Linked DNA regions of Macaca fascicularis. The protein of the gene in region 6 purifies or fractionates together with the protein of the main gene of each other region. This does not show direct contact. Links are inferred from orthologs where the notes say so. Each region holds a gene or a part of one and is shown on either strand. Other genes may lie near its edges. The genes, in order: CHD4, NCBP1, POLR1E, POLR3F, RAN, KPNA2 and SMARCB1.

The links.
Region 1: the proteins of KPNA2 (region 6) and CHD4 purify together in Homo sapiens (affinity purification with mass spectrometry; 3 studies listed by BioGRID and IntAct, with this or other methods). This does not show direct contact. The link is inferred for Macaca fascicularis from reciprocal best matches to the Homo sapiens genes KPNA2 and CHD4.
Region 2: the proteins of KPNA2 (region 6) and NCBP1 purify together in Homo sapiens (co-immunoprecipitation; 5 studies listed by BioGRID and IntAct, with this or other methods). This does not show direct contact. The link is inferred for Macaca fascicularis from reciprocal best matches to the Homo sapiens genes KPNA2 and NCBP1.
Region 3: the proteins of KPNA2 (region 6) and POLR1E purify together in Homo sapiens (affinity purification with mass spectrometry; 3 studies listed by BioGRID and IntAct, with this or other methods). This does not show direct contact. The link is inferred for Macaca fascicularis from reciprocal best matches to the Homo sapiens genes KPNA2 and POLR1E.
Region 4: the proteins of KPNA2 (region 6) and POLR3F purify together in Homo sapiens (co-immunoprecipitation; 3 studies listed by BioGRID and IntAct, with this or other methods). This does not show direct contact. The link is inferred for Macaca fascicularis from reciprocal best matches to the Homo sapiens genes KPNA2 and POLR3F.
Region 5: the proteins of KPNA2 (region 6) and RAN purify together in Homo sapiens (affinity purification with mass spectrometry; 3 studies listed by BioGRID and IntAct, with this or other methods). This does not show direct contact. The link is inferred for Macaca fascicularis from reciprocal best matches to the Homo sapiens genes KPNA2 and RAN.
Region 7: the proteins of KPNA2 (region 6) and SMARCB1 purify together in Homo sapiens (affinity purification with mass spectrometry; 3 studies listed by BioGRID and IntAct, with this or other methods). This does not show direct contact. The link is inferred for Macaca fascicularis from reciprocal best matches to the Homo sapiens genes KPNA2 and SMARCB1.

The regions. Positions count from the first base shown.
Region 1 is NC_088385.1:7,528,353-7,532,628, reverse strand, and holds the start of CHD4 (chromodomain-helicase-DNA-binding protein 4), read left to right. Parts: upstream 1-1,476; 5' UTR 1,477-1,587; intron 1,588-2,201; exon of another isoform or gene 2,202-2,317; intron 2,318-2,434; 5' UTR 2,435-2,512; coding exon 2,513-2,612; intron 2,613-4,276. UniProt on the Homo sapiens protein: ATP-dependent chromatin-remodeling factor that binds and distorts nucleosomal DNA. Acts as a component of the histone deacetylase NuRD complex which participates in the remodeling of chromatin.
Region 2 is NC_088389.1:60,482,570-60,486,069, forward strand, and holds part of NCBP1 (nuclear cap-binding protein subunit 1), read right to left. Parts: intron 2,926-3,500; coding exon 2,837-2,925; intron 2,174-2,836; coding exon 2,073-2,173; exon of another isoform or gene 2,067-2,072; coding exon of another isoform or gene 2,044-2,066; intron 551-2,043; coding exon 394-550; intron 1-393. UniProt on the Homo sapiens protein: Component of the cap-binding complex (CBC), which binds cotranscriptionally to the 5'-cap of pre-mRNAs and is involved in various processes such as pre-mRNA splicing, translation regulation, nonsense-mediated mRNA decay, RNA-mediated gene silencing (RNAi) by microRNAs (miRNAs) and mRNA export.
Region 3 is NC_088389.1:61,840,633-61,844,654, reverse strand, and holds the start of POLR1E (DNA-directed RNA polymerase I subunit RPA49), read left to right. Parts: upstream 1-1,222; 5' UTR 1,223-1,324; coding exon 1,325-1,400; intron 1,401-1,899; exon of another isoform or gene 1,900-1,970; coding exon 1,971-2,074; intron 2,075-3,172; coding exon 3,173-3,249; intron 3,250-4,022. UniProt on the Homo sapiens protein: Component of RNA polymerase I (Pol I), a DNA-dependent RNA polymerase which synthesizes ribosomal RNA precursors using the four ribonucleoside triphosphates as substrates.
Region 4 is NC_088384.1:68,804,015-68,807,514, reverse strand, and holds part of POLR3F (DNA-directed RNA polymerase III subunit RPC6), read left to right. Parts: intron 1-166; coding exon 167-310; intron 311-522; coding exon 523-630; intron 631-2,063; coding exon 2,064-2,255; intron 2,256-3,500. UniProt on the Homo sapiens protein: DNA-dependent RNA polymerase catalyzes the transcription of DNA into RNA using the four ribonucleoside triphosphates as substrates.
Region 5 is NC_088385.1:137,989,105-137,993,216, forward strand, and holds the start of RAN (GTP-binding nuclear protein Ran), read left to right. Parts: upstream 1-1,312; 5' UTR 1,313-1,343; intron 1,344-1,807; 5' UTR 1,808-1,817; coding exon 1,818-1,853; intron 1,854-2,058; coding exon 2,059-2,143; intron 2,144-2,225; coding exon 2,226-2,351; intron 2,352-3,762; coding exon 3,763-3,950; intron 3,951-4,112. UniProt on the Homo sapiens protein: GTPase involved in nucleocytoplasmic transport, participating both to the import and the export from the nucleus of proteins and RNAs. Switches between a cytoplasmic GDP- and a nuclear GTP-bound state by nucleotide exchange and GTP hydrolysis.
Region 6 is NC_088390.1:74,467,001-74,470,500, reverse strand, and holds part of KPNA2 (importin subunit alpha-1), read right to left. Parts: intron 3,073-3,500; coding exon 2,804-3,072; intron 2,552-2,803; coding exon 2,457-2,551; intron 2,357-2,456; coding exon 2,093-2,356; intron 1,605-2,092; coding exon 1,371-1,604; intron 1,123-1,370; coding exon 940-1,122; intron 1-939.
Region 7 is NC_088384.1:28,078,284-28,081,783, reverse strand, and holds part of SMARCB1 (SWI/SNF-related matrix-associated actin-dependent regulator of chromatin subfamily B member 1), read right to left. Parts: intron 3,223-3,500; coding exon 3,093-3,222; intron 1-3,092.

The DNA.
Region 1 (4,276 bases), on a different chromosome or scaffold from region 6:
TCTTTGGATGGGAGTTGGTAATTATTATGGGATGTTGTAGGGTGAATTAGACTTCATGTAAATGTTTCATCTGTCAGCTTGGTATTTTGGTTGGTTGGTGTTCCTCAAAACTTAGGAGCTGGAGGTAAGCATCTGGAAAATACCTGGATTTTGGTGGGACTAGGTGGGGCCCTAGGTGGGCTTCTAGCCCCCAAGTGTCTGGAAATGATGGTATGAGGGAAGCTGGGGTCCCAGACATGAGGAGGCTTTTTGCCAGGATACTGCTTTGGCCCAGAAAGGGATTAAGGTGTGTGCAAGTGGGGGCGGGGACAGGGAAGCGTGGGTAGCCTGCCTGGCCCTCCCTGCTTTGGGTGTTAGAATAGACTGACAGCGCCTGGAGATGGGGGTGGGAAGAATATGAATATTATGGGATGCCTGGCTCAAAGGGTATAGGGGTGGTGGAGTGGAGATGAAGCATTATGGGATGTGACACTGGGTTGTGTTGGGAGTATTACGGTATGTTTGGTTGACCACGGGCTCCTTGCAATTATTATGGGATGTCAGGATGTGGGTAGGAGAGTAAAATTATTATGGGATAGCTTTCCAGTGTCAGAGGAAAAGAGATTAGATGTCCATCTGTGGGGCGACAGTAGGGCTGTTGATCATTACGGGTTATCTTTTTGATAGAGGAGGGGTACTTACTATATAGGCTGTGGAGCTAGAAGAGGGAAGGGTGGGGGTGACGTGAGCCTCTAGACCCTAGCCTGCAGGGACTGAGGGCAGCCCTAGGGGGTTAGTTATTACGGGATGTCAGTATAGAAAGTGGGAGACTGATTATTATGGGATGTGTGTGGGAGGAGGCCGAGTGTCCGTTGTTGTAGTATGGGGGGGGTGAGTTTCAGACTATTATGGGATGTCAAACTGGGGGTGGATGAAGGATGGTTATTATGGGATGTCTGTGGGGGATGGGGCTGAGTATTATGGGATATGAGGCATAAGTGCTGGGAGGGGTGCTTATTATGGGATGGCCATGGGGAGGGAGGGGTGAATTATTATGGGATGTTAGCATTAGGGCCAAGAGTGAAGAAGTTGGCAAAGGATGGCTATTATGGGATGTCTAAGAGGGTTAGTTGCAAAAGGTCTGCAATATTATGAGATGTCAGCAGCCCCTGGCATATGTGTATGAAATGTGGGGGGGCAGGGTGTGTGTGTGTGTTGTGTGTGTGTGTGTGTTTTTTGGGGGGGGGGGGTGTCCGTGTGTATTATGGGATGGCCAGGAGGTGGGCGGTTGCCCAGGTGACACGCGCGCGCGCGCTCGAAGGGGGCGTGGCCAGTGGTTGCCTGAGCGACGAGGGGGCGGGGGTTGCCCGGGAGACCTGGGGAGGAGGGTGGCGGTAGTGGAAGGGGGGGTTGGAGTTGGTTGAGGTTATTATGGGCTGTCCGTGGGGGGGCGGGGCCTGTGCGGTGGGATTTCCCGGCCGGTGTTTCAGGCCCTTTAAGAGGCGACGCCGGAGCCGGAGCCATTTTCCCCCCTTCGGCCGCGGCGAGGAGGAGCTGGAGCGGGAGTGACACTGAGCCGGACCCAGCGCGACCTGCGGCGGCTCCGGGGTGAGGATAGCGCGGGGTTCCCAAAGAGACGCCCCTCACGGCCCGACCAGCCCCGAGGGTCATCCCGTCAGCCGCCCCTTCCTTAGGCGTCTCCGGACCCGCGGACCGCCCCTTGCCCAGAGGAGCCGACCCTTCCTTTCCTGGCCTGCAGGGCGCCCGGCCTCCTCCCTAGCACCCGCCCTAACCCTGCCGGAGTCTTGCTCCCCGCGACCCCCGCCTTCGGCTTGGTCTCCCACAATGCCCGGCGCCCACCCCCTCGCCCTTTGATCACTTGCCCCCCCGGGACACGTGGCCCGGCCCCCTTCCCGGTGGGACGCTTTAGCCCCCCGCGTCCCTGCCTCCGGCCCCCCGCAGCGCCCGAGCCTCCACGCCCCCTCGTCTCCGCAGCTCTTGAGGAGAACCTGAGTTGTCCCAGAGGACAGCCTTTGGAGAGCTGCCCTGTCTGGGGACTGGCCCCTCCCCGGGCGCAGGGAGGCGCCCCCCCACCCCCAAGTGACCTTGTGTCCCAGAGCGTTTCGCCGCCTGCCGCCTCCCCTGGCCCCCCCGTGCCGCTGCCACTCGGACCCCCTCCCCCGTCACACCCCGCTCGGTCCAGCCCGGCGTCTCCCCTCCCCGCGCTTGCACCAGCCTGCCCTCGGAGGCGTCGCTCCCTCGCTCCGTGGGGGCGCCTGCCGGGGAGCCGGCTTCCGGGCTGCCCCCAAGGAGTGTGGAACTAAGTTCAGCCTGAGCGGTTCGGGTGCCCTGCTAGGGTGGCTGGGGTGGGGGGCGGAAAGAGCGGGTGGGTGTGGGGGAGGGGGACAGTGCGCGTCACTGACTGTTCTCTGTTTCTCCCCCCTCCCCCGCACAGTGACTCGGGCCAGTGTAGAGGGCCCCAGGCCGCCGGCAGGAGCAGCTGGGCCAATTCCCTGGCCGGGAGCGGAAGGGGATGGCGTCGGGCCTGGGCTCCCCGTCCCCCTGCTCGGCGGGCAGTGAGGAGGAGGATATGGATGCACTTTTGAACAACAGCCTGCCCCCACCCCACCCAGGTAACATCTTCCCCAAGGGCCCAGGGCGGGAAGGAGGCATCTGGGGCTCTCCCGAGTGACTGCTCTGGTGAGGCAGGACTGTGTTGCTCGGCTGTCTCTGTGCAGAGCCGGAGGTGGAGGGCATCCGAAGGGAGTGGTTCCCTTCTGCGGAGCTCTGGTGTGAGGGGGGTGGAAGCCATGTGCCTCTTGGGCACCGCGGACGGAGATGCCAGCTTGCTGCACTCTGTCTTGAGGAATGCTCTGCAGTTCCCAGTTGAGGGAGCTCTCTGGGCTGGCAGGCATTACCTTGTGTGTGGGTCCTCGGAGGAATGCAGGTAGCTGGGACCCCTGGAGGCTTGTGGTGGTGGCGGAGGGGGGCATTGAGGATTCTATTTGAAAGACCAGCCCGGCATCTGTGCTAGTAGGATCCTGTGGTTGCCGCTGTGGAAAAGAAAGAGGGAGTGCTGGTTACACTCTATCTGATTATTTTTAGCTTCTGATCAGTTACCGGTTTTCTGTGCTGTCTCAGCTGTGTGAAGTTTGAATCGCGCTCCTCAGCAGGATCTGGAGTGCTTTTAGCCAGGCAGATTGCTGGAATGTTTTGAGTGGGGAAGTGATGGGGGCTTGGGAAGGATGTAATAGCCTAGTGAAGAGGGGCAAAAGAAGGGAGGGCATCTCTCTTCTCTTGGTGAGTGGACATAATTTTGGCTTTTTTCCTACTGGCTTCTGCCTCTATGAGGTAGCCTGGCGTTTAGGCTAGCAGTGTGAAGCGTCTGTGTAGGTGTGCTAGGGGTTGCTCTATCTGTGTTTTGGGGTGGCTCCATGAACTGGCCAAACCCGTATGGTTATAACTACATTGCCTGATTGGGGGAGCCCTTGTCTATCCTCAAATGATGGTTGATGTCATGTTCCTAAGCAGATGTCTTTCTCTTCTGTGTCCTTTTTCAGAGTCCCTAGCTAAGTCATCTACTTGTTTCCTTGACCTTCGTGTTTTCTAGGTTCATTTTTTTTCCTATGTGTCATTTCTTCATTCTTTCTGCTTCTACTTTTCTTCTCATTTTGGAGCCTGCTGATCCTGGTTTTGTTTCTCATCCAGCATCATTCAGTTCTGCCTTCTCTCTTCTTAGCTTCAGCGGAAGTTGAGGTGGTCTGGGAGAGATGCTTTCACATTTGGTACTTTTTAAGTTGGAAGTCTTGACTTCAACCTGAGGCCATTTAGGAGAGGGGTTAGTGTTGTCATGGAGTCTTGGCTGTTGGGATGAGAAACTTGGTTTCATCCTTGTGTAGGGTAGGGGGGCAGATTTCCATGCCCTTGCCCAAGGTGAGGGCAGGGTGGTGGTGCTGGTAAGGGGACCCCGTCCTTCTGAGAGGCGCATGAGAAACAGTAGTGCTGCCTAGACATTGTGGGTTCCACATCTTGGCCTCCCATTGTCCCCTTGGGCTGGGGCTGCCTTTCATGTTGACTGGGAGCTGCGCAGGAGCTGTGAACTCTGTCCTGAGCTGTAGCATGACCCACTTTTTTCACTTGCCACACCCTATTCCTGTCCCTTTCCCAAATCTTCCTCTATATCTCAGTCAGTTTGTTGTTTGCCATTTCAGCATATTATTTGCTTGAGAAGTTTGGGGGTTCCATGTGCATGGAAGGATGTCCCCTTTGCCTCTATGGGTTATCTTTATCTCCACTT
Region 2 (3,500 bases), on a different chromosome or scaffold from region 6:
GGATTGGGAACACCTATGGTACAAGAAGGCAAAGGGAAGACAAAAATTAAAGCTCAGCTTTATAGATGGGCTATTCAGTACACAGTGGCCACTGTATGAGCTGGGGAAAGGGCAGAAAAAAGGAGGTATGAATGCTACATTAATTTAGGCACTTCCTGGTAAGATATCTGAAGGCTATGCAGCTAGCATCTGGAATACTGGACTGGAGCTCAGGAGAAAGGATGGAGACACAGTTACAGATTTGGGGGTGTCATCAAAATAAAGGTGGCCTATGAAGCTATCAAAGTGAATGAGAATGCTTCAGGGGAGCATTTTAAATTATTTGGTTGTAGCTCACCTTTTCCCTCCATCCCAACAGTAAGTCATAACATACCAACAAACAAACAAACTTACCAAATATACGGCTTCATTATAATTGTTTGCTTTCAATGACTCTTTAAGTTGACGAATCATGGCTTCTACAAATTCTCCACCAAAGTTGTAATTCCTGGCATTCAGCAGTCCAACTAATGTTGTATAAATTGTCAACTTCTCAGGTAACAGACGTGCACTGATTTAAGAACCCAGTATAACGAGAAAACCCCAAAACAATAGCGTTAAGTTGCTGAATTTTATATGAATCTTTTTATCATTCCATTAACTTTGGAACAGGATTACTTTTAGCTGTCTTTAAAAATACTCCAGAAAAAGCATGTCACTGAGAAATGTTACAAACACAGTCCCGTAATTTTTCATTTTAATTCATTAATTAATCCAAGAGTTAAGAAAGTAAATGATTTAATTGTAAAGTTATCTTACTGAAATAAATAAAACTAATGCTACAACAGTTTTTTTTCCAAGTGTGTTTAGTGGAACTGAATAGCATTTCCACAGAACATGGTTTCCATGGTAAAATGTCTCAGAAATCCTGGGTGAAACAAGCCTCTTTAATACAGAATCATTAAGGGGGGTGCGGCATTCAGAATTTCTAAACTTAGCTAACCAAATGTCATGGAAGTAGAATTCTACTTTGAGAAACACTATTCTAGTTGCTTAGAAAAGAGGCACAATTAAAACGAGTTTCATCTAAGTTCCTACCAGCTTAATTATTGAATTTTTTTAAAACGTAGTCTGATATAGTTAAGATTTGCTTACTCCAAGTATGTTGATTTTGTTAAAGTTATTTGAAAAGTATGGGAAAGGATTACAATAAACCTTTAGAAAAAGCAATTTTTCCTAATTTAGGCAGCCTTTAGAATTAGCTCAAAAAGCAAATAAGAACTCATAATCATTCAGTGGGCAAGAGATTCTCTTTGACTTGTTTTCCTAAAGTATCTAGCAGAACATCAGGGACAATTAAGGTCTTCAAAAAAATACCTGTGTTGATGGTAACTGTACTCCCTGAAACCCTACCAAAACCAAAAATTAAAGAAGAATACTGCGAAGCAATACAAGTTCAGCCTTAAACAAACAAGGTTTCCAACAGTTTAAGTATAAATACTACCCCATTTTAATAAAGGATTTCAGAAGATTTCCTTAGTAGTTTCTTAAAGTTACCTTCACTTGATCTAAACTAAAAGGCTGAGAAGTGATAAACGTCACCTTCATAATTTAAAAACACCTCATGGATATGTTACAATTTCATGTTAACTACAAAGACTCCTGTTTATCCAGAGAGTATGCCTATTACTAGTGGCTTCCAAAGCCTCTTCAGTCTTCCAAGAAGAGCTATTACTTGTGTTACCAATTCCCAAATTTGTTTGGTACTACTAATTTTAAAATCTAAGTATCATACATTTAAATATACATGCTTAAAAATATGTATCTGAATGAGACAGTACTCTACAAAAAGTCAACTACAATGATTCTAAGGTTCTAAGAAATAACACACAAGGAAAATGCTCAATTTTAGTTTTATCCCTAAGAAAAAGAGTTCATTAAAGGGCCAAAGGTTGGCTCACTTGTACAAACTTCCCCATAGAAGGAAAGCCAAGGACATATAGAACATAAACATATATTTTAAACATTTCCCAAAGCATTTAAGAGTAGATAATACATTATCACCTGGATTCATAAATCTTTTGCATACATACACTGTACAAAGAAGCCTTAAGATCTTGCTCTTGTAGTTAGGAAGATCAGCTTCCAAAACACCAGCCAAGCCTTCGAGGTTGCTCTCCAAAGAGCAGGCACTCTGTAGAGGACATCACATTAAATATCTGTCAAGTACTCAGCAATATAAATTTACTGTTAAAAATTTATTTAAATGTAAATATATATTTTAAAATCATTTAAAAATCATAACCAATCATCTGTCCTTTTGCTATTTTAGTGTACTAAAATAAAAATTTCCACATGATCATTAAAATAGTCTTACACGCATACAGAGCTATAATGGGTTTAGTATAAATCAATTCAGATAGTTATTGTTCTTTAGAAATCCATGAAAAGTTGATGAGCGAAATTTAAAAACTAAGCAGTCTATGATAGCAGAGTAAGCATTAGAAATGGGAGGACACCATGGGCTCCATTTTACCTCTTTTACTAATTCACTCTGTTACTCTGGGCAAATTACCTCAAGTATTCAGGGTTGATTTAGTTCATGTATAAATTAAGGGGCTATACCCTAGGTCCCTTTTAAGGCTCATCTTCTATGAAAATTATTAATTACTAAATTACTAATAATAATCAATTATCTGCATCCCAGGGGCTTCAACATGGATTCAATTTGGGATACAGATGCATGGTAATACCAGCTTTACCAAAATGTAGTTCAAGTTTTCAGCTGCAAAAATTAATCAAAGCAGTCAACCACATTCTTAAACCCATCACAGCCTGTGCCTATTGTGTGACATACCTTTTCTCCTACTTTGCATATTAAAGATTCCAAATGATCTTCAGTTTCATTTGCATCAGAGGTCTTTCTCCTTTTGTGAGGCTGCCCACCTATTTCAGCAACATAAAAAATTAACATTACACGCTAAATCTGCTATCACAAATTTTATTTAACCTTTTTAGGTTATAATCTGTTTTCTACCAGGCCCTATTTTTCTGACAGAGTAGAAGCTCTTCACAGACCCTCCATTTCTCAGACTAAGCTAGATTAACCAACACCTCCCATTCCCAGAGCCACTATATACAATAACTCCAGGAGGCATTATTTATGTTAAATTTTGTGTGAATAGTGCCCATGGAGCTAAGCAATCAGCAGCCCTGTGCATTTCTGTGGAAAAGCTGGAAAGCTGCCAACAACGCGTTAAACACTAGTAGTTAGAATACTCATGTACTGCTACTCCCATTCTTTCAACTTGAGTTGTTTACTGATCCTCAGTTGCTTGTTCCGAAACCTGTTAGTACCAGTAGTATTCATTAGTCTAATAATGTAATTATTATGTAAATGACAAAATAAGGGTGCAAAACCAAGTCGAATGCTTTGGAAAGACTTGATCGGAAAAAAAAAAGCTGTTATATCAGCTATAAAGAGGAAAGCTTCAAAAGAGGGGAAAAAGGAGCATAAAACA
Region 3 (4,022 bases), on a different chromosome or scaffold from region 6:
CCATCACAGCTCACTGCAGCCTTTGCCTCCTAGGCTCAAGCAATCCTCCCACCTCAGCCTCCTGAGTAGCTGGGACGACAGGCGTGTGCCACCACACGTGACTAATGATTATTTTTTTGTAGAGACAGGGTCTTGTTATGTTGCCCAGCCTGGTCTCAAATTCCTAGAATCAAGGGATAGAACTGCCTCTGCCTCTGCGCCTGGCAATTTGCTGATGGCTGTGTTGTTATTTAGGGAACGTCCTTGTCTGTAGGAAATACTATAGTCTTCGGGGTGAAAGGGTATCAGGTTGACAGCTTACTCTAAATGGTTCAGGGCAAAAAAAGTTCTTGCAGTGTTTCTTTAAGTTTGAGACTGGGTAATTAGAAAAGAGTGACAAGTTGCAGGCTTTAAGATTATTCCTAGGATTCTGGGTGTTGGAGGAGGGTGTGAGGATGTGTGGAAGGAAAAGAGTCCTGAAAGAAGGTGATTTGGAAGACAGAGGGGAGTCAGCCTGAGTTCTTGCCCTTCAATAGCACGCATCTTTGGGCAAAGGGGGCCTCGGCCAGGGTCCATGCTTAAAGGTCCTGCTTTTGCCTTTTTTGTGCTCTGAAAACTCCCCGTGCAGAAGAATGGTTGAATCCGCAGTGAAAAAGGGACATGTCTATCAGCTCGGACTCCCTCTTCTATTTCAGTCCAGAATCTCCTGGCCAAAGGCCCTGGGGTTGGTTGGGCTTCTGTTCCATCACCTCAGGGTTGATCGGGCCACATGTGTGCACGCCACAGCGCATTGCGGGGCGCTGTTTGTCGGACTGTGGACAAAGCTTGTACCTAGAACTGGATGTCCACGTGGGTGGGTGGGAGGTCCTAGAGAGGGGCGGCTTTTTGCCAGCGGCCACATTTAGTTGGGGCTCAAGGAGTTCCTGTTAGAGAATTCTAAATTTGAACTTGGTCTTTCAGGTCTTGGGAAGACGTGTTTGTCACGGTAGGAGAGAGACGACACTCTCTCTAGACTGTGCTGAGCCGGAAGAAGGCTCACAGCAAGCTTAGGCTGAAGCCGTAGGATGCCTCAGGCTCTGGACCTACAACACCCAGAGCGCAGGCGAGCGCTGAGCTAATCACGTGCTGCGCCTCGGCCAGTCGCGCGAGTATGTGGCACCTTGTGGGCGGAGACCGCGCCTCTCCGCGCGGGGGGCGGGGACACGCGGCTCGCGCACTGTGGGCGGTGCCCGGCTGGGGCCACGCCTTTTCCGGCCTGCCGCGCGGCGTAGGCTCCCGCGTGTTTAAAAGCGGGTTTGTGGCTACTGCTGTCTTAACTGTTGTACTTGGCGGACAAACAGGCGAGATGGCGGCGGAGGTGTTGCCGAGTGCGAGGTGGCAGTATTGTGGGGCGCCCGACGGGAGCCAGAGAGCTGTACTGGGTAAAGACTGCAGAGCTGGAGCAGTGCTCCTCTAACCCTCCCCCCTTCCGTCTCGGTATCTCAGCTGTCCCCTCGCACTCCGTTAGGCTTCTCCCCAGCGGGGCCAGGACGCCTGTAGTCTCCACCACTCTCCTGGGCTCGGTCGGGGCTGCCCTGTCCGTCTTTCTGTCACTACCGCCCAGCCGGATTGGGACATCCCACTCACCCGCTCCCCAGGGCTGTGTCCAGGACCCTGCTGTCCCCTCACCCACCAGGTCTCCCACCTCCCCCGTTTCCCTCTCTTCACTGGGCAGGGGTTCCTTCTGTCACTTTAGGTGTGGACCAGGCGTCTGCTGTCAGCCTCCTTCCGCGAGACATTCCCCCTTGTTACAGCCCCTCCCCAGGGTTCTCCCACCTCCCTAACCCCTCTTCTCAGCTGGCCCCGGATCTCCTCTAGTTCCCTTTGGGTCAGGACCCGAGCTTCCTTGCCATCCCCATTCTGACACTCACTCCCTCCCAGTGACAGTCTAGTCCCACCGTACATTGTGTGGCCTTCTGCTCTCACCTGATTCTTGGGCTGCACTCTTACAGTCCAGTTCTCCAACGGGAAGCTACAGAGTCCGGGCAACATGCGCTTTACCTTGTATGAGAACAAAGATTCCACCAACCCCAGGAAGAGGAATCAACGGATCCTGGTAAGTGAAGCAGTTGCCAGCTGCCTCCACTCTGCAGGGCTCAGAAGGCGCCTGGGAGTGGGTGGTGTGGGAGGGAGTGAGGGGAGAAACAGGAGAGTAGTAGCAAATGGACCTTTGAAGAACTCTGATGCCCAGCAACTTGGGATGTGGGGACAGGCTCCATCTTTCATTCATTTATTCTTTCAACAAGCATTTATGGAACCTCCTCTGTATCCCTGTGCTGCAAGCTTCTAGGAAAACAGCCAAATCAGGCCTAGCCCCACTCGGAGTTCATACTCTAGAACAGGGTTTCTTAACCTCAGGACTATTGACTTTTGGGGCCAATAATTCTTTGCTGTGGGGGCAGCATCCCTAGTCTCTACTCACTGGATGCCAGTAGCACCAGAGTGGATTTCCCTGGATTGAGAACCTCTGCTCTAGAGAGATGAGAACTGGCTGTGAGGGACACTTTTACACAAAGCTCTGAGGCCACGTGCGGAAGATTACAGGGCAGAGTGAGCTCAGTGGGAGGAGAGGTCTCTGCCAGAATGCCTTCCTTGGGGAGGTCATGTTGGAGCTGAGCCTTGAAGGCTGGAACGAGGGTTTGGCAGTCAAGGTTTGGTGTTCTAAGTGAAAAGGATAGCGAGGACAAATGCAGAGAAGCAGGAAAGCTTGCTTATGATTGGGGAGTCAATCAGCCATGGTCCTGAGAGTATACAAAGAACAGCCATGGGAGAGATGGGCAAAGAAGGTGAAAAAGGGCTTGGACTTTGGGCCAAAGAGAGATTGCTTACAGAATCACTTTGTTGCATGCCTGTAAGTGCTAGAAGCCCAGGGCCTCTCTCTCAAGTCTTGTGATAGAATTCCCCCAAGAGCTTTTCATACCATTAGAAGCTAGCACCATCTGAGGCTTCTCTTCCAAAAGTTGTCTTGCTTCCCCCGCAGGGACACCCCATATTCCCTTAGAGAGAGTGGAGCTGGATCATCTGCCAGAGATGAACTAGTTCTAATCCATTGTGAGTCTGGATTCAAAAGCCTCAGCAAATGTAGAAAAGAGAGATGATGCTTAATACCTTTCAACATTGGTTGTAAATGGAGTTTCTCCTCTCTGCATTTTAGGCAGCTGAAACAGATAGACTTTCCTATGTGGGAAACAATTTTGGTACTGGAGCCCTCAAATGCAACACTTTGTGCAGGTAATGGCAGGGGAAGGGACAGCGGGAAGGGTGATGGGGTTGGGAGTGGTGGCAGCACTGGCACTGCTGTTTCCTGTCTGTCTTAAGGGCAGTAGGAGCCATCTAGAGCGGTTTACTAGGTGATTCCTGTGTTCCTATTAGACATAGAGCCCTTCCCCTCACCTGTAGACATTGCTGGAAAGGAAAGATAACTTGAATTTCCTGAAAACCTCATTTGTAACCTTGTTTGTTTATAGCTGTCTTATTCCAAAAGGCAGTTCTCTCCATTAATTTGGAATGTGTGACTAGTAGGTCAAAGCTTGCGTGAAGTTTACCTGGGAACTAACGACAGGTAAAGAACTTGGTAGTGTTGAAGGCTCTGGGCTGGGAAAGAGAAGCCTGGGATTCCCATCCCTCTGTGCTGCTGTTTGACTGAGTGGCTGGGTAACTCTGCCCATCACTGACCCCTAGTCTGTACAATGAAGATTGTCCAACCTCAACTATATCACTCTCGGGGGCTGGCATGATGCAGACAGGGCCCTGTGATGGTACCCAACAATGAACTACAAACCAGGCCCTTTCTGAGCCTTACTGGACCATACTCCAATAGAGGTCAGATTGCTGTATAGGTGCTGAGAACTACTAACCCTGCACTCTCCCCTCTCAACGATGCCCTAGTTCCAACTGGTCTCCTTCCCGTTTACTTGATTTTGCCTCCATAAAACTGTTGTGCCATAAATTCTAGTGTAATTCTAGATTCCTACACCCCAAAAGAGTTTTCCATTACAGTACAG
Region 4 (3,500 bases), on a different chromosome or scaffold from region 6:
AATCCAAGACGTTAAAAATAGGTGAGACAATGTGGAGCATATAGGAGCTCTGTGTACTATCCTTGCAATAATTCTGTACGTCTTAAACTGTTCCAAAATATAGGTGTTTTTCTTTTCGTTTTTGGAAATTGTTATAAACACATGAACTGTGCATGTTCTTTCCTAGGCCTCAAAAAAGAAGGTGTACATGCTCTATAACCTGCAGCCGGACCGGTCTGTGACTGGCGGAGCCTGGTATAGTGACCAGGATTTTGAATCTGAGTTTGTAGAGGTGCTGAACCAACAGTGTTTTAAATTCCTACAATCCAAGGTGAGGTATGATTGAAGAAACATCACTGCAAACCCTCTTGTAAAAAGTTTTTCATAGAGAATTTTAATCTATCATATTTTATAGGAATTAAAAACCTGAAATTGGTAATTTTTACTAAACTAAATATGTTCTGCTGTTGGTTTCAGTATAAAGTGTATTCAGAAAACACACCAATATTCTTGCTTAGATTTCTTATGTTTCAATCCTTATAGGCAGAAACTGCACGAGAAAGCAAACAGAACCCAATGATACAAAGAAATAGTTCATTTGCCTCATCACATGAAGTGTGGAAATATATCTGTGAATTGGGAATCAGTAAGGTCAGAACTGAATTTCATCTTATTTTTTAAAACATATTCTTCATCACATACAGTATATTCCAAACATGTATTTGACCCAGACTGTTTTTTGGGGGATGATAGCTACGAACATTCTCCAGAATCCACTTTGGGAAAATACTGTCCTGTATCTTAAGCAAAGGCAGTCGCTGCCATTGGGCATTGTCTGAACTGACACTAAGCTTGGGACACTGATGCTTTTTAAATTTTTTTTGGAAATAGGGTCTCATTTTGTTGCCCAGGCTGGTTTTAAACTATTGGACTCAACTGATCCTCCTGCGTTGGCCTCCCAAAGTGCCACTGTACCTTAGCCTTTTGAAATTCTTTTTTTTAAGGACACTGATGCTTTTCACAGTGAAGAAGTGGCCATTTGGACATTTCATTTTAATTTCCTGGGCCTCAGATTTCTCATTTATAAAAACTAGGAACTGGCCGGGCGCGGTGGCTCAAGCCTGTAATCCCAGCACTTTGGGAGGCCGAGACAGGCGGATCACGAGGTCAGGAGATCGAGACCATCCTGGCTGACACGGTGAAACCCCGTCTCTACTTTAAAAATACAAAAAAACTAGCCGGGCGAGGTGGCGGGCGCCTGTACTCCCAGCTACTCGAGAGGCTGAGGCAGGAGAATGGCGTGAACCCAGGAGGCGGAGCTTGCAGTGAGCTGAGATCCGGCCACTGCACTCCAGCCTGGGCGGCAGAGCGAGACTCCGTCTCAAAAAATAAAAATAAAAATAAAAAAATAAAAACTAGGAACTTGGACTATTTGATGTTTAAAGTGCCTTTCTGCTCAAGCATTTTATAAATCTCCAATAAATTCCTGCTAAAGAAATGCTACTTTTTTATAAGATTTCTAGATTTTACTTAAGAAGTAAAAAATACCAGAAAGTGTCAAACTCAGCATGCGCTTAGAGTTCTGTCCCTGGCATTTCAGTGGTTTGTGCTAACTTGGACTATTGTTCCTCCTCTTTGTGCTTCAAATTACTCCACCCCAGCATAATGTTTCTCCCATTTCACAGAAGAATTGTGACCCTTTACTGTTTTATTTATTTGTTTGAGATGGAGTTTGGCTCTTGTTGCCCAGGCTGGAGTGCAGTGGTGTGATCTCAGCTCACTGCAACCTCCGCCTCCCATGTTCAAACCATTCTCTTGCCTCAGCCTCCCGAGTAGGTGGGATTACAAATGCCCACCACCACACCTAGCTAATTTTTGTATTTTTAGTAAAGATGGGGTTTTGCCACATTGGCTAGGCTGCTCTCAAACTGCTGACCTCAGGTGATCCACCTGCCTCGGCCTCCCAAAGTGCTGGGATTACAGGCGTGAGCCACCGCGCCCAGCAACCGTTTACTGTTTTAACACCCTCCAAGTGGATATCTCCCTGTCCTATTTGTGTCCTTTCTGATGTATCCCTTTTTTAGGTAGAGTTATCCATGGAGGACATTGAAACCATCCTGAATACACTCATTTATGATGGAAAAGTGGAGATGACGATCATCGCTGCAAAAGAAGGCACAGTTGGCAGTGTAGACGGACACATGAAACTGTACAGGGCAGTCAGTCCAATCATCCCTCCCACGGGTTTGGTCCGGGCACCCTGTGGACTCTGCCCGGTGAGTTACAGTGGCTTCACTTTACACTTGACTGCCCCTGGGTGCAAGTGCCACATTAAGAAACAGAGCAAGCACACCCCAGTTTTCTCAGACTCTTAGGGTTGACCAAGAGCTATTCAAACCTCTGTGAAACCTTGATGAACAGACCTTTAATGAACAAATCATTGCTTTACATTCTTTTTTTTTTTTTTTTTTGAGATGGAGTCTCACTCTATCGCCTAGGCTGGAGTGCAGTGGCACGATCTTGACTCACTGCAACCTCCACCTCCCAAGTTCAAGCGGCTCTCCTGCCTCAGCCTCCCGAGTATCTGGGATTACAGGCACCCGCCACCATGCCCAACTAATTTTTTGTGTTTTTAGTGGAGATGGGGTTTCACCATATTGGCCAGACTGGTCTTGAACTCCTGACCTCAGGTGATCCCCTCGGCCTCCCAAAGTGCTGAGATTACAGGCATGTGCCACCATATCCAGCCTCCTGCTTTACATTCTTTCTTGGAATAACCACATTAAGGATATTTGCGTTTTCTGCTCTTGGCCTTGAAATGGACACTTTTTGATGAGGGCTAATCATTTCACCTAAATAGGGCAGAAAATGAGATTTGTTGAGAACCTACCTTGGGCCAGGTGTGTCCTTGATGATTTCCATAGGTGGTCTCATTTAATCTTCCTTACCTTCTTGAAGCTCGTGGTGTTACTTCCCCTTAAAAGTGAGGGAGCTTAGGCTTAGGAAGACCTAGGGGCCTATAGCTTAGAAGTAACTGGGATTCAAACCCAGAGATCATGTCTTTCCCCTGCAGCATGCCCCAGCACTCCTCCTTCATTCGTTCCCAAATTTTATAAGTGCCAACTCTATGCTCTAGTCACTAAGGATACAAGAGAAAGTATAAGACACTGTTCCAGTCCTCATGGCATTTATAGTCATGAGCCTGCGTGTGTTTTATTTCATTATATCAGCCTTTGTCTATATGCCTAAGCTCTCTATGCCCTGGTTTCAATCTGTAGACAAAAGGCTAACATATTAGGAATTCTATTTTGCACCCTTCACAAAAAGGTAGCTAAACATGAAACATTCGGTAAATCAAAATCAAGTCATTCATATGTATAGGTCTCCCTGCCTGTTTTCCTGTGTTACCTGGTGATGACCTTTTGCCCAGCAGACAGGTGAGCATGGTCATCTTAATGCCACAGTAAAAGGCCTCTCTACTACTCCTAACTTGATGATCACAAAGCGGGCCCTATTATAGT
Region 5 (4,112 bases), on a different chromosome or scaffold from region 6:
TTGTTTGTAGGACGCAGCGGCCAAGGCTGCCAACCTATGAAACGCTTTGAGAAGCTGGGCGCTTTGGGAGGCCGAGGCGGGTGGATCCCCTGAAGCCAACCTGGGAGACATAGTAAGATCCTGTCCCTAAAAATTTAAAAAAAAAAAAAAAAGAAAAAAAAAATTACCCCGGATGTGGTGCGCGCCTGTAGTCCCAGCTAATTGGGAGGCTGAGGCGGGAGGATCGTTCGAGCCTGGGAGTTCGAGACCAGCCTGGGCAACATACCGAGACTCTGTCTCTCTTTTTTTTTTTTTTTTTTTTTGAGCCGGAGTCTCGCTCTGTCGCCCAGGCTGGAGTGCAGTGGCCGGATCTCTGCTCACTGCAAGCTCCGCCTCCCGGGTTTACGCCATTCTCCTGCCTCAGCCTCCCGAGTAGCTGGGACTACAGGCGCCCGCCACCTCGCCCGGCTAGTTTTTTGTATTTTTTAGTAGAGACGAGGTTTCACCGTGTTAGCCAGGATGGTCTCAATCTCCTGACCTCGTGATCCGCCCGTCTCGGCCTCCCAAAGTGCTGGGATTACAGGCGTGAGCCACCGCACCCGGCCGAGACTCTGTCTCTTAAAAAAAAATAAGTAGCCATTTTCCGGGGTGGGGGCATCCCTCTCTGGTTCCTCGCTCTCCAACTGGCCCTGGTCCTGGGGGCGTGAAGGCTGCGATCTGGAGAGACAGAGCCGCGGGCTGACTCTGGAGGCCCAGCCTAGGATCCCTTCATTCATTCATCCGTTCTGTCACTCACCCGTCCTGCGCGCACGCGAGCGCCATCCTAAGCCCCAGGACCCCAAGTACCCCAACCCCACGGGGCACAGACAAGGACTGGCTGGCCAGCGCCTGGAAGCCGCGTGCCTGACCGCGTCTGCCCAAGCGAGTACCGCCTCCCACCCAAGAGGTAGCACGGCCGCGACAGTCCGGCCGCGCCCAACGACTCCCGCCCAGGGGCGCGCCGCCTCCCTGTCAGCGCATGCGCGCCCCCGAGCCCGCACTGGGCGTCGGCGCACGTGGCCCCCACGGGCCGGCATGCGTGCGCGCTCCCGGCTCGCCCTCCCACGCGGTCCATCGCGCCTCCCGCCCCACCCTAAGCGCAGCGCCGGCCGCAGCGGCCGACTGAACCAGGTTGCGTGCGTGCGCGCGCGCACGCGCGGGCCACGTGGGCGGGCGCCGTGCCGTTGCCCCGCCCCTTGTCAACCCCGCCCCCGTCGGCCCCGCCCCTGCCCGCGCGCCGGCGTCGGCTGCGTCTCCGGCGTTTGAATTGCGCTTCCGCCATCTTTCCAGCCTCAGTCGGACGGGCGCGGAGACGCTTCTGGAAGGTAGTGAGACGCGGCGGGCCGGGCAGGGCAGGGCCGGGCGGGGACAGGGGCGGCGGCAGCGGGATAGGGGCCGGAGCCGGGGTCAGGGCCGGGGCAGGTGGCGGGCCCAGGGACAGCGGGCGGCTGTGAGTAGGTGGGTGGCGCGGGCCCGGCCGTGCCGGGGCAGGAGACGGGCATGGGGTCGGCGCCCGCCCCCGCGAACCCCCGTTTCATCCTCCGCTCTCATTCCCGTCCCGGTCTCAGTCCCGTCCCTATCCCGACTTCTCCGTCCGCCGTTCCCCGCGCCCCGCCGCCCCGGATGCCGGCCCCGCCCGCCGCCTTCCCGCTCCGAGGCCCGGCCGCCATGGCGCCGCGGGCGGGAGGCCTTTGTGGGGCGGGCACGTGGGGCGCTGGGGGCGCGGGAGCGGGGCCGCCATGGGCTGCGGGGCCGCGCGAGCGCTCGCCTCCGTCCTCTGCCTCCGCAGGAACGCCGCGATGGCTGCGCAGGGAGAGCCCCAGGTCCAGTTCAAAGTAGGTAACCCTGCGGGGCGGGAGGCGGCCGAGTCCGACCGCGTGCGACTCGCGGGTCCCTCCTCCCGGACCCACGATGGCTGTAACGGGGCCCCGCATCCATATTCTTTGTTTTAAGTGAGCCTGTGATGGTTAAAGTTCCATGACTCTGGGATCTTGAGAGGTGAAGTGTTTTGGGTTTACTTCCAAATGTGTTCTCCAACAGCTTGTATTGGTTGGTGATGGTGGTACTGGAAAAACGACCTTCGTGAAGCGTCATTTGACTGGTGAATTTGAGAAGAAGTATGTAGGTATGTGCAGGAAAACCTTGCTTGTGGAAATACGTGAGAAATGGGTAAATTCATCCACTCAATCATGTCGTTTCCGTTTTAGCCACCTTGGGTGTTGAGGTTCATCCCCTAGTGTTCCACACCAACAGAGGACCTATTAAATTCAATGTATGGGACACAGCCGGCCAGGAGAAATTCGGCGGACTGAGAGATGGCTATTATATCCAAGGTAGGCATTTGTAACTTGCTGAACAGTTTTTGAGAGGTTTTGTGTACTTCAGTTTTCAAGGTTATAGAAACTCAGGTCTGTTCCAACAAATAGTGCTTAATACTGTAATGGGAATTGTGTCATTTCTGGGTTAAAAAAAGACGTGGACTTCAGGGAGTTGACCACCATTTTGGTGGCAGAGGAGAAAATTTTATGAAAGTTGCATGCTGTGTCATGCTAGGCATGGTTTAGAAAAACCTATGACTTACACTGGAACTTATAAGTCATCTTTAAAACAATAACAGGCTGTTAACAGCAGTTTCAGTATTTGAAAACTTAGGTTCTTGTGTGTAGTTTGGTGTGGCGATCAATGAATATTTCTAGTCCATTACAAAGCAACACCAGATACTAGACCAGAGGAGATAGGAGGTCTTAACAAGTGTTATACAAGACTAGCCAATTTCTTGTTAAATTGTTTGTAGTAAGTTGTGCAGAGTATTTTTCTCAAATAGTTTGATTTAAAAATCTCAAGGAAAATGTTCATTGTACCAAAAAGAGAGGAATAAACAAAATACTCATCTCTCCTGGAACCTCACGTTGCTAATAACACATTATCTGGAATCATTCCATGCCTTTTGCTCTCCTTGAACATGTACATATAAACACAAGAATTTCCCCCCCAAAAAATCCTTTAACCAAAAAGTTGTGGTTTCTTGCCTTACTAACTGTACCATAGTTATTCCTGCAGGTGAGTATATAGACTTTATCTGGGTTATTTAATTTTTTTTTTTTTTTGAGACAGGGTCTTGCTTTGTTGCCCAACCTGGAGTGCAGCTTCCGCCTCCTAAGCCTCAGCCTCCTGAGTAGCTGGGACTACAGGCACCTGCCACTATGCCTGACTAATTTTTGTATTTTTTTTTGTAGGGATGGGGATTCACCATGTTGCCCATGCTGGTCTGGAACTCATGAGCTCAGGTGATCCACCCACCTCAGCCTCTCAAAGTGCTGGGATTACAGGCATGAGCCACATCGCTTGGCCTATTTGGAATTTTTAAGACAGGAATGATATTTCCTAGTATAGTCGGCCATTTAAAGACTTTCTGAAGACTATTTCCAGGCCCTACCCTCAGAATATGGCAGCTTGGTTCTCCAGAATCTCACTTGGCATTAATTACTTCAGATAGTGTTTTGGGGATGAGGGGAGTATTAATGGTGAAGTTTATCAGGGAGATTTGATAGAATCAGCTCATCTTTCTTAGGAAGAGTTCTGTGTTAATGTTCTTAGAATTGAAAGAGACTTTGAAAGTGAGGGGAGAGATCTAGGTGCCTCGTTGAGGTCTAAGACTATAGTTGAATCCTAGTCTGCGGTTCTTAGCATTCTTCACTTGTGTGGTAAACTGAGTGTACTAATTACCGCAACTGTTTCTTTCAGCCCAGTGTGCCATCATCATGTTTGACGTAACATCGAGAGTTACTTACAAGAACGTGCCTAACTGGCATAGAGATCTGGTGCGAGTGTGTGAAAACATCCCCATTGTGTTGTGTGGTAACAAAGTGGACATTAAGGACAGGAAAGTGAAGGCGAAATCCATTGTCTTCCACCGAAAGAAGAATCTTCAGGTGTGTAAAATTAAAACTTCCTGAGTTATTTCTCTTAGCGGAGATTGTATGTAAGACCATGAAATTGACCAGTGTCTATTATATATGGAAATGATTTTTTTTCTCCCAAGATGGAGTCCCGCTCTGTCCCCCAGGCTGGAGTGCAGTGACGCAATCTGGGCT
Region 6 (3,500 bases):
GCCTCCTAAGTAGCTGGAATTACAGGCGCCTGCCACCACACCCGGCTAATTTTTTGTATTTTTAGTAGAGACGGGGTTTCACTATGTTGGCCAGGCTGGTCTCAAACTCCTGACCTCGTGCTCTGCCCACCTCAGCCTCCCAAAATGCTGGGATTACAGGTGTGAGCCACTGTGCCCAGCCTGTAGACTCAACTTCTATATGTAAAAATCTCTAGAATCTAAAGTTGATGAGTAGGACTTACCTACCACCAATCACTATGACAAAGTGCCATATGCTGGTACGCTTGGATCAATTAGGGATACAACCAGAAGAAAAATATAAGTTATTCAAATTTTTTTTTTCTGAGATAGTTTCACTCTTCCGGCCAGGCTGGAGTGAAGTGACATGATCTTGGCTCACTGCAACCTCCACCCCTGGCCCAGGGTTCAAGCGATTCTCCTGCCTCAGCCTCCCAAGTAGCTGGGATTATAGGTGCCTGCCACCACACATGGCTAATTTTTGTATTTTTAGCAGAGACGGGGTTTCACCATGTTGGCCAGGCTGGTCTCGGACTCTTGACCTCAGGTGATCCACCTACCTTGGACTCTCAAAGTGCTGTGATACAGGCATGAGACACCATGACTGGCCAAGTCATTCAAATTTAATTTCACCAAAATTCAGTATGAAATTGGGACATTAAATCAAGTAAGTAAACAGATGTGATGAGTTCACATAAACGCCCGACTTCGATTCAGGTCCCATCATCCACTTGTCATCTCTTTCATCTTTGATAATGCCTGCCACATTTTTAATCAAAGGTGTGGCCCACCTAAACAGGCTTTCTGAATCTGTGGCTTACTAGTGACTAAACTTACAACAGTTGCCCTCCCCCAGGTCTAAATAGTAAACTGATTATTATCAAGTTCAAATTCAAACAAAGCCACCTTGATAGGTCTTACCTGAAAGATATTTGAAATGGCATCCAAGATAACCAGAATAATCTTGGTATCTTTTGCAGTTAAGAGGTTCATCAACGGTTCTATTATGCCACAGTGAACAAGGTACACAATCTGCTCAACTGTTCCACCACTAGTGTAGTTGGTCACGGCCCATACAGCTTCCTTTTGTGTCTTAAAATCTGCCTATTAAACATAAGGAAATGGTTTTATTTCAGAAAGTTGCAAGAATAAGTTTCCAGGAGTACTTTTTCACAAAAACAATGACTCAAAGTACCAAGGTTCTATCCAACTGTAAGTGAAAGGGGTTACTGGGTATTTTTCAGCAAAGGACTCCAAGTAGAACCCAAGATTCTTGCACGTGAAGAAGCTTATCAAGCAGAGCTTTCTATAAATACTAAAAATGACTTGATTAAATCCTAAGACTTCATTACCTTAGAGAGAACACTGACAAGGAATGGGACTAATCCATGATTCACAACTTGCTGTATCTGGTCCTGACGGCCAGCTGTGATGTTTGACATTGTCCATGTAGCTTCCTTCTGAATGTTAGTTTTGGGGTTGGTGAGCAGGCTGGGAAAGACAGCGAGCGCTCCTGCATCAATTACAACCTGAGTCTGTTCATCTGTACCAGTGACAATATTCCCTATGGCTCTTAGGGCAGGAGTCTGAAAAAAAAAAAAAAATGTTGATGCTGGTTTTTTCCCAGCACTTCAGAAATTCTGTACCCTAAAAGTTTTAACAAGAGGCCCATCATGGGTATGAAATAGGTAATATTTCAATATTAGTATCAACTGATAATGCTTTTTTTTTTTTGAGAGACAGGAGTCTTGCTCTTGTCACCCAGACTGGAGTGCAATGGCACGATCTCGACTCACTGCAGCCTCTGCCTCCCGGATTCAAGCAATTCTCCTGCCTTAGCCTCCCAAGTAGTTGGGATTACAGACGCGTGCCACCACATCCAGATAATTTCTTTGTATTTTTAGTAGAGATGGGCTTTCATCATGTTGGCCAGGCTGGTCTCTAACTCCTGACCTCAGGGGATCCACCCACCTTGGTCTCCCAAAGTGCTGGGATTATACAGGCGTGAGGCACCATACCCAGCCCTGATCATGCTTTTTATACTAATGTCCTAATCTACAAGTAAATAACTTACCACAATTGGCAATTCAGAAGCTCCTAGAAGCTTCACAAGTTGGGGCACAACTCCTGTTTTCACGACCATGTCAATTCGTTCATTCGGACCGTCAGTAAGGTAGGAAATAGCCCAGCAGGTATCTGCTAATACTTCTGGATCATCATGATGCAGGAGCCGAACTAAGGTAGGAAGAATCTGCTCAACAGCATCTATTGGGGGTGCAGGATTCTTGTTGCGGCAAAGATTTGAAAGTGTCCAGGTAAGATTGCGTAAGTAGCCACACTAGGGGGAAAAAAATAGGCAATGAGAGGTTCTGTCTTTTGAGAAGATGGGGGAAATTAGAATGAAGAAGTGAGTAACTTTATTCATGTTAGTAACTTACTGCTAAAGATGACATATCAGGAACCGCAAGCAGAGCCAACAGTGGGTCAACTGCACCATACTTAATAACCAAGTCTCGGAACACTGAGCCGTCACCTGAAAAAAAAGGCAAGATTAATTTTATTATCTTGTCCAACACCACCAATGTTCAGTGACTGATGCACCAGCAAAAACTCCCAAACGTACTTAGATGCCCCTCTGCTGCCTTTGTAAAGACGACACTTTCATTCCTAATAACGGCTTGAAAGCAAGCTCAAAACTTGATGAAGTCGTTACTATTTATAAGGCCTTTCTTTGAACTCATTACGCTTAGATACATTCAGTCAAAAGAACTTCAAGTCCAAGTACCTGCAATGTTTCCTAGAGCCCAGACGGCTTGTTCACTGATGTGAGCATGGGGAGATGCCAACAGAGAGATGAATGCTGGGATGGCACCTCCATCTACCACAGCCTTGGTCTGTTCTGATGTCCCAGAAGCAATGTTAGTGAGTGCCCAAGCAGACTCAAACTGAATGGGACTACAATCAGTTCTGCCCAAGAAGGACACAAATTTTGGAATCAAACCAGCCCGGATTATGCTGTCTATGGGGGGCTGTTTTTCTCTAGAAAGTAGTTTCCTAAAGGGGAACAAAAAGAGAAATAAAAGTTGAAAGTGGTTAACAAAAGGAGTTTGTGTAAAAACCAATTTAAAATGCAATTCAACAGTTTAGAACTTCAGACAACCTTTTAAGTAAATCACTAAATGCTGAGACATTCTGGAATCTAAGAGAAGCTGAACAGATTACCTATATGGTGCTATATATGCGGTATCATTAACTACCATTTTTCCAAAAATTAATGTAGATTACCCTCCTCTCCATCCCTGCAGAAATCTACAGATCTTGTCACTTTTTAAAAAAACTTTTGACGTTCTGACAGGGTTAGACTCCCATTGTTAACTGAATTTGTTCTCCCTGATAGTTGTGGTTAAGCACATTTTTCTTTTTGAGACGGAGTCTCGCTCTGTTGCCCAGGCTGGAGTGCAGTGGCCGGATCTCAGCTCACT
Region 7 (3,500 bases), on a different chromosome or scaffold from region 6:
ACCAAGAAACTGTTTTATCGCCCCATAAAAGATTCCCAGCTGACGTGTGCAGAATTAAAGTGCCATCCATATGCACACAATTTCCTTCTGCAACTTCCCTGGAAAGGCCAAGCCATCCTTATGTTCTTACCACATCCCTTGGGGGAAAAAGAATCTGCAAAGCACACGTCTGTAACACTGGCCAGCCTGGAGGCGTGCCACCTTTCTTTGGGGGGAATCATAAAAAAGATTTTCCATAACCACATCACTCTGAACAATAATCCTTTTTCTTCCTTAATGCTCCTTGGGCTTTGTGCAGAGAAATGCATACTTTCTCGAGAGCTGAATGCACAAGGTAGATGGGTACAATCTTATATTCTGCACGTCTCACCCACAGGACCCGTCTCGGGTCACTGCAGAATCTACTTAATTACACCACGTATGGGTCACACCTTTGTCTATTCAAGTAGCTGACCCGTCAGTAACCTAGGCTTTCCTTGAGGCTGGGTACTTAAATGACTCCATATTCTCCAGTATTATTCACAATGCTACAAAGAATCTCTGTACATATAGTGGGTTTATTGATTCATTTTGTTCTTTGAAAATATTTCTTTGGGACAAATTCCTAGGGGTGGTATTAGTGGGCCAGAGAACAAAAAAATTTGATGTCAGGATGCTTTACAAAAAGGGCACTCCTGGCTGGGCACGGTGGCTCACACCTGTAATCCCAGCACCTCCAGCACACATGAGCGCAGCTCCATCACACCTTCCCCAATTCCTTACATTGCCAGTTTTTTGTTTTATGCTTGGAATTTTTATATTTATTTATTTATTTACTTTATTTATTTATGAGACGGAGTCTCACTCTGTCGCCCAGGCTGGAGTGCAGTGGCGCAATCTTGACTCACTGCAAGCTCCGCCTCCCAGGTTCACGCCATTCTCCTGCCTCAGCCTCCTGAGTAGCTGGGACTATAGGCGCCCGCCACCACGCCCGGCTAATTTTTTTGTATTTTTAGTAGAAACAGGGTTTCACCATGTTAGTCAGGATGGTCTCGACCTCCTGACCTCGTGATCCACCCACCTCGGCCTCCCAAAGTGCTGGAATTACAAGTGTGAGCCACTGCGCCCAGCCTTATTTATTTATTTTTTTGAGATAGAGTTTCACTCTTGTTGCCCAGGCTGGAGAGCAATGGTGCGATCTCGGCTCACCGCAACCTCTGCCTCCTGGGTTCAAGCGATTCTCCTGCCTCAGCCTTCCTGAGTAGCTGGGATTACAGGCATGCGCCACCATGCCCGGCCAATTTTGTATGTTCAGTAGAGATGGGGCTTCACTGTGTTGGTCAGGCTGGTCTCAAACTCCTGACCTCAGGTGATCTGCCCGCCTCAGCCTCCCAAAGTGCTGGGATTACAGGCGTGAGCCACCATGCCTAGCCTTTTTTTTTTTTTTTTTAAGAGACAGGGTATCGTTCTGTTACCCAGGCTAGAGGAGAGTGGTGTGATCACCACACCCAGCTAATTTTTTTAACCTTCAGTAGTGATAAGGTCTCACTATGTTGCTCAGGCTGGTCTCCTGGGCAACAGAGTCAAATCCTGGACTCAGGTGATCCTCCTGCCTTGACTTCCCAAAGTGCTGAGATTACAGGCATAAGCCACCATGCTCAGTCTTATGGTTGGAATTTTTGAAATTACACGAGGGCAAATTCTTTCCATGTTTGTTTACTCCCTTGTACTTCAAGGTATGGACCATCTTTTATCTATTTGTTGAGGTATCCAAGTTCGTTGTATAAATCTAGATGTATAGATTCTAGATATAACATTGTAACTTTCTAATTACTTGCTTTTTTAATTGTTACTATAAATACTCTTCTAAAGGTTCTAAGTTTTGTTTTGTTTTGTTTTGTTTGAGATGGAGTTTCGCTCTTGTTGCCCAGGCTGGAGTGCAATGGTGCGATCTTGGCTCACTGCAATCTCCACCTCTCGGGTTCAAGCAATTCTCCTGCCTCAGGCTCCTGAGTAGCTTAGATTACAGGCATGCGCCACCACACCTGGCTAATTCTGTATTTTTAGTAGAGACAGGGTTTCTCCATGTTGGTCAGGCTGGTCTCGAACTCCCGACCTCAGGTGATCTGCCCGCCTCGGTCTACCAAAGTGCTGGGATTATAGGCGTGAACCACCACTCCCAACCAGGTTCTAAGTTTTTATACATTCAAATCTATTGTTGTTTCTTTTGTGAGTTTATGTGAGTCACTAATTTTTCTGACAAATTGGTCCCACTTATTTGTTTTTTAAGAGATGAGGTCTTGCTGTGTTGCCCCAGGCTGGTTTTGAACTCCTGGCCTCAAGCAATGCCTCGGCCTCCCAAAGTGCTGGGATTACATGCGTAAGCCACTGTGCCTCGCAGAGTCCCGCTTTCCAAGCATTCATAACTGTTCCCTGGAATCCAGGACTTGGCTTACGTTTCTTACAAATTTCAATGATACAGAACAAACTTAGAAATCTGGCTAAGAAAATGTATAAAAACAGAGGGAACGGTTAAAAAGTGTTTCAATCCAAAAATTAGGACCAGGCGTGGTGGCTCACACCTGTAATCCTAGCACTTTGGGAGGCCGAGGCGGGCGGATCACCTGAGGTCGGGTTTGAGAACAGCCTGACCAACATGGAGAGACCACCATCTCTACCAAAAATACAAAATTAGCTGGGCATGGTGGCGTATGCCTATAATCTCAGCTATTCGGGAGGCTGAGGCAGGAGAATCGCTTCAACCCGGGAGGTGGAGGTTGCAGTGAGCTGAGATCATGCCACTGCACTCCAGCCTGGGCAACAAGAGTAAAACTCCATCTCAAAAAAAAAAAAATTAGCCAGGTGTGGTGGCAGGTACCTGTAATCCCAGCTACTCGGGAGGCTGAAGCAGGAGAATCATTTGAACCTGGGAGGCAGAGGTTGCAGTGAGCCGAGATCGTGCCACTGCACTCCAGCCTGGGCAACAAGAACAAGACTCCATCTCAAAAAAAAAAAAAAAGGTGTTTCAATTTAACTTCAACCCAACCAGTTCTTGAGTCTGAGAAAAGACCCCACAGATGTCCCCAGAGATGCCTTGGCCAGGAACGCATTACCTGAGGTAGGTGGGGGGCTCTGTGCTGATGGACACAGCCTTGTACTTCTCATCGTTGCCGTCCAGAATCTCTTCCACTTCCGAGGCTTTTAACAGGGTCACACTGGTGGCTAGAGTTGTGTATCCGTGATCTGTAACAGACAGACATCACTGGGTCACTCTGCTGGTGGCGGTGGCACACAGCAGCCAGCCAAGTGGATGCAGCACATCAAGGTCCTCGCATGCGGGAGGTGGGAAAAGCAAGGTGTCAAACTCACTACTACCGAATGCTGGCCTCTTCCAAAAGGGCAATCTGGACTGAGTGCTTTACTTACAAGTCCTGCTGGGTAGAGCCTCCAAAGGGACTGATTTAGACTAATCTGCCCCAGGCGCACTGGCTCAGGGGCAGAGGGTAGTGCTCAGGGCAGCA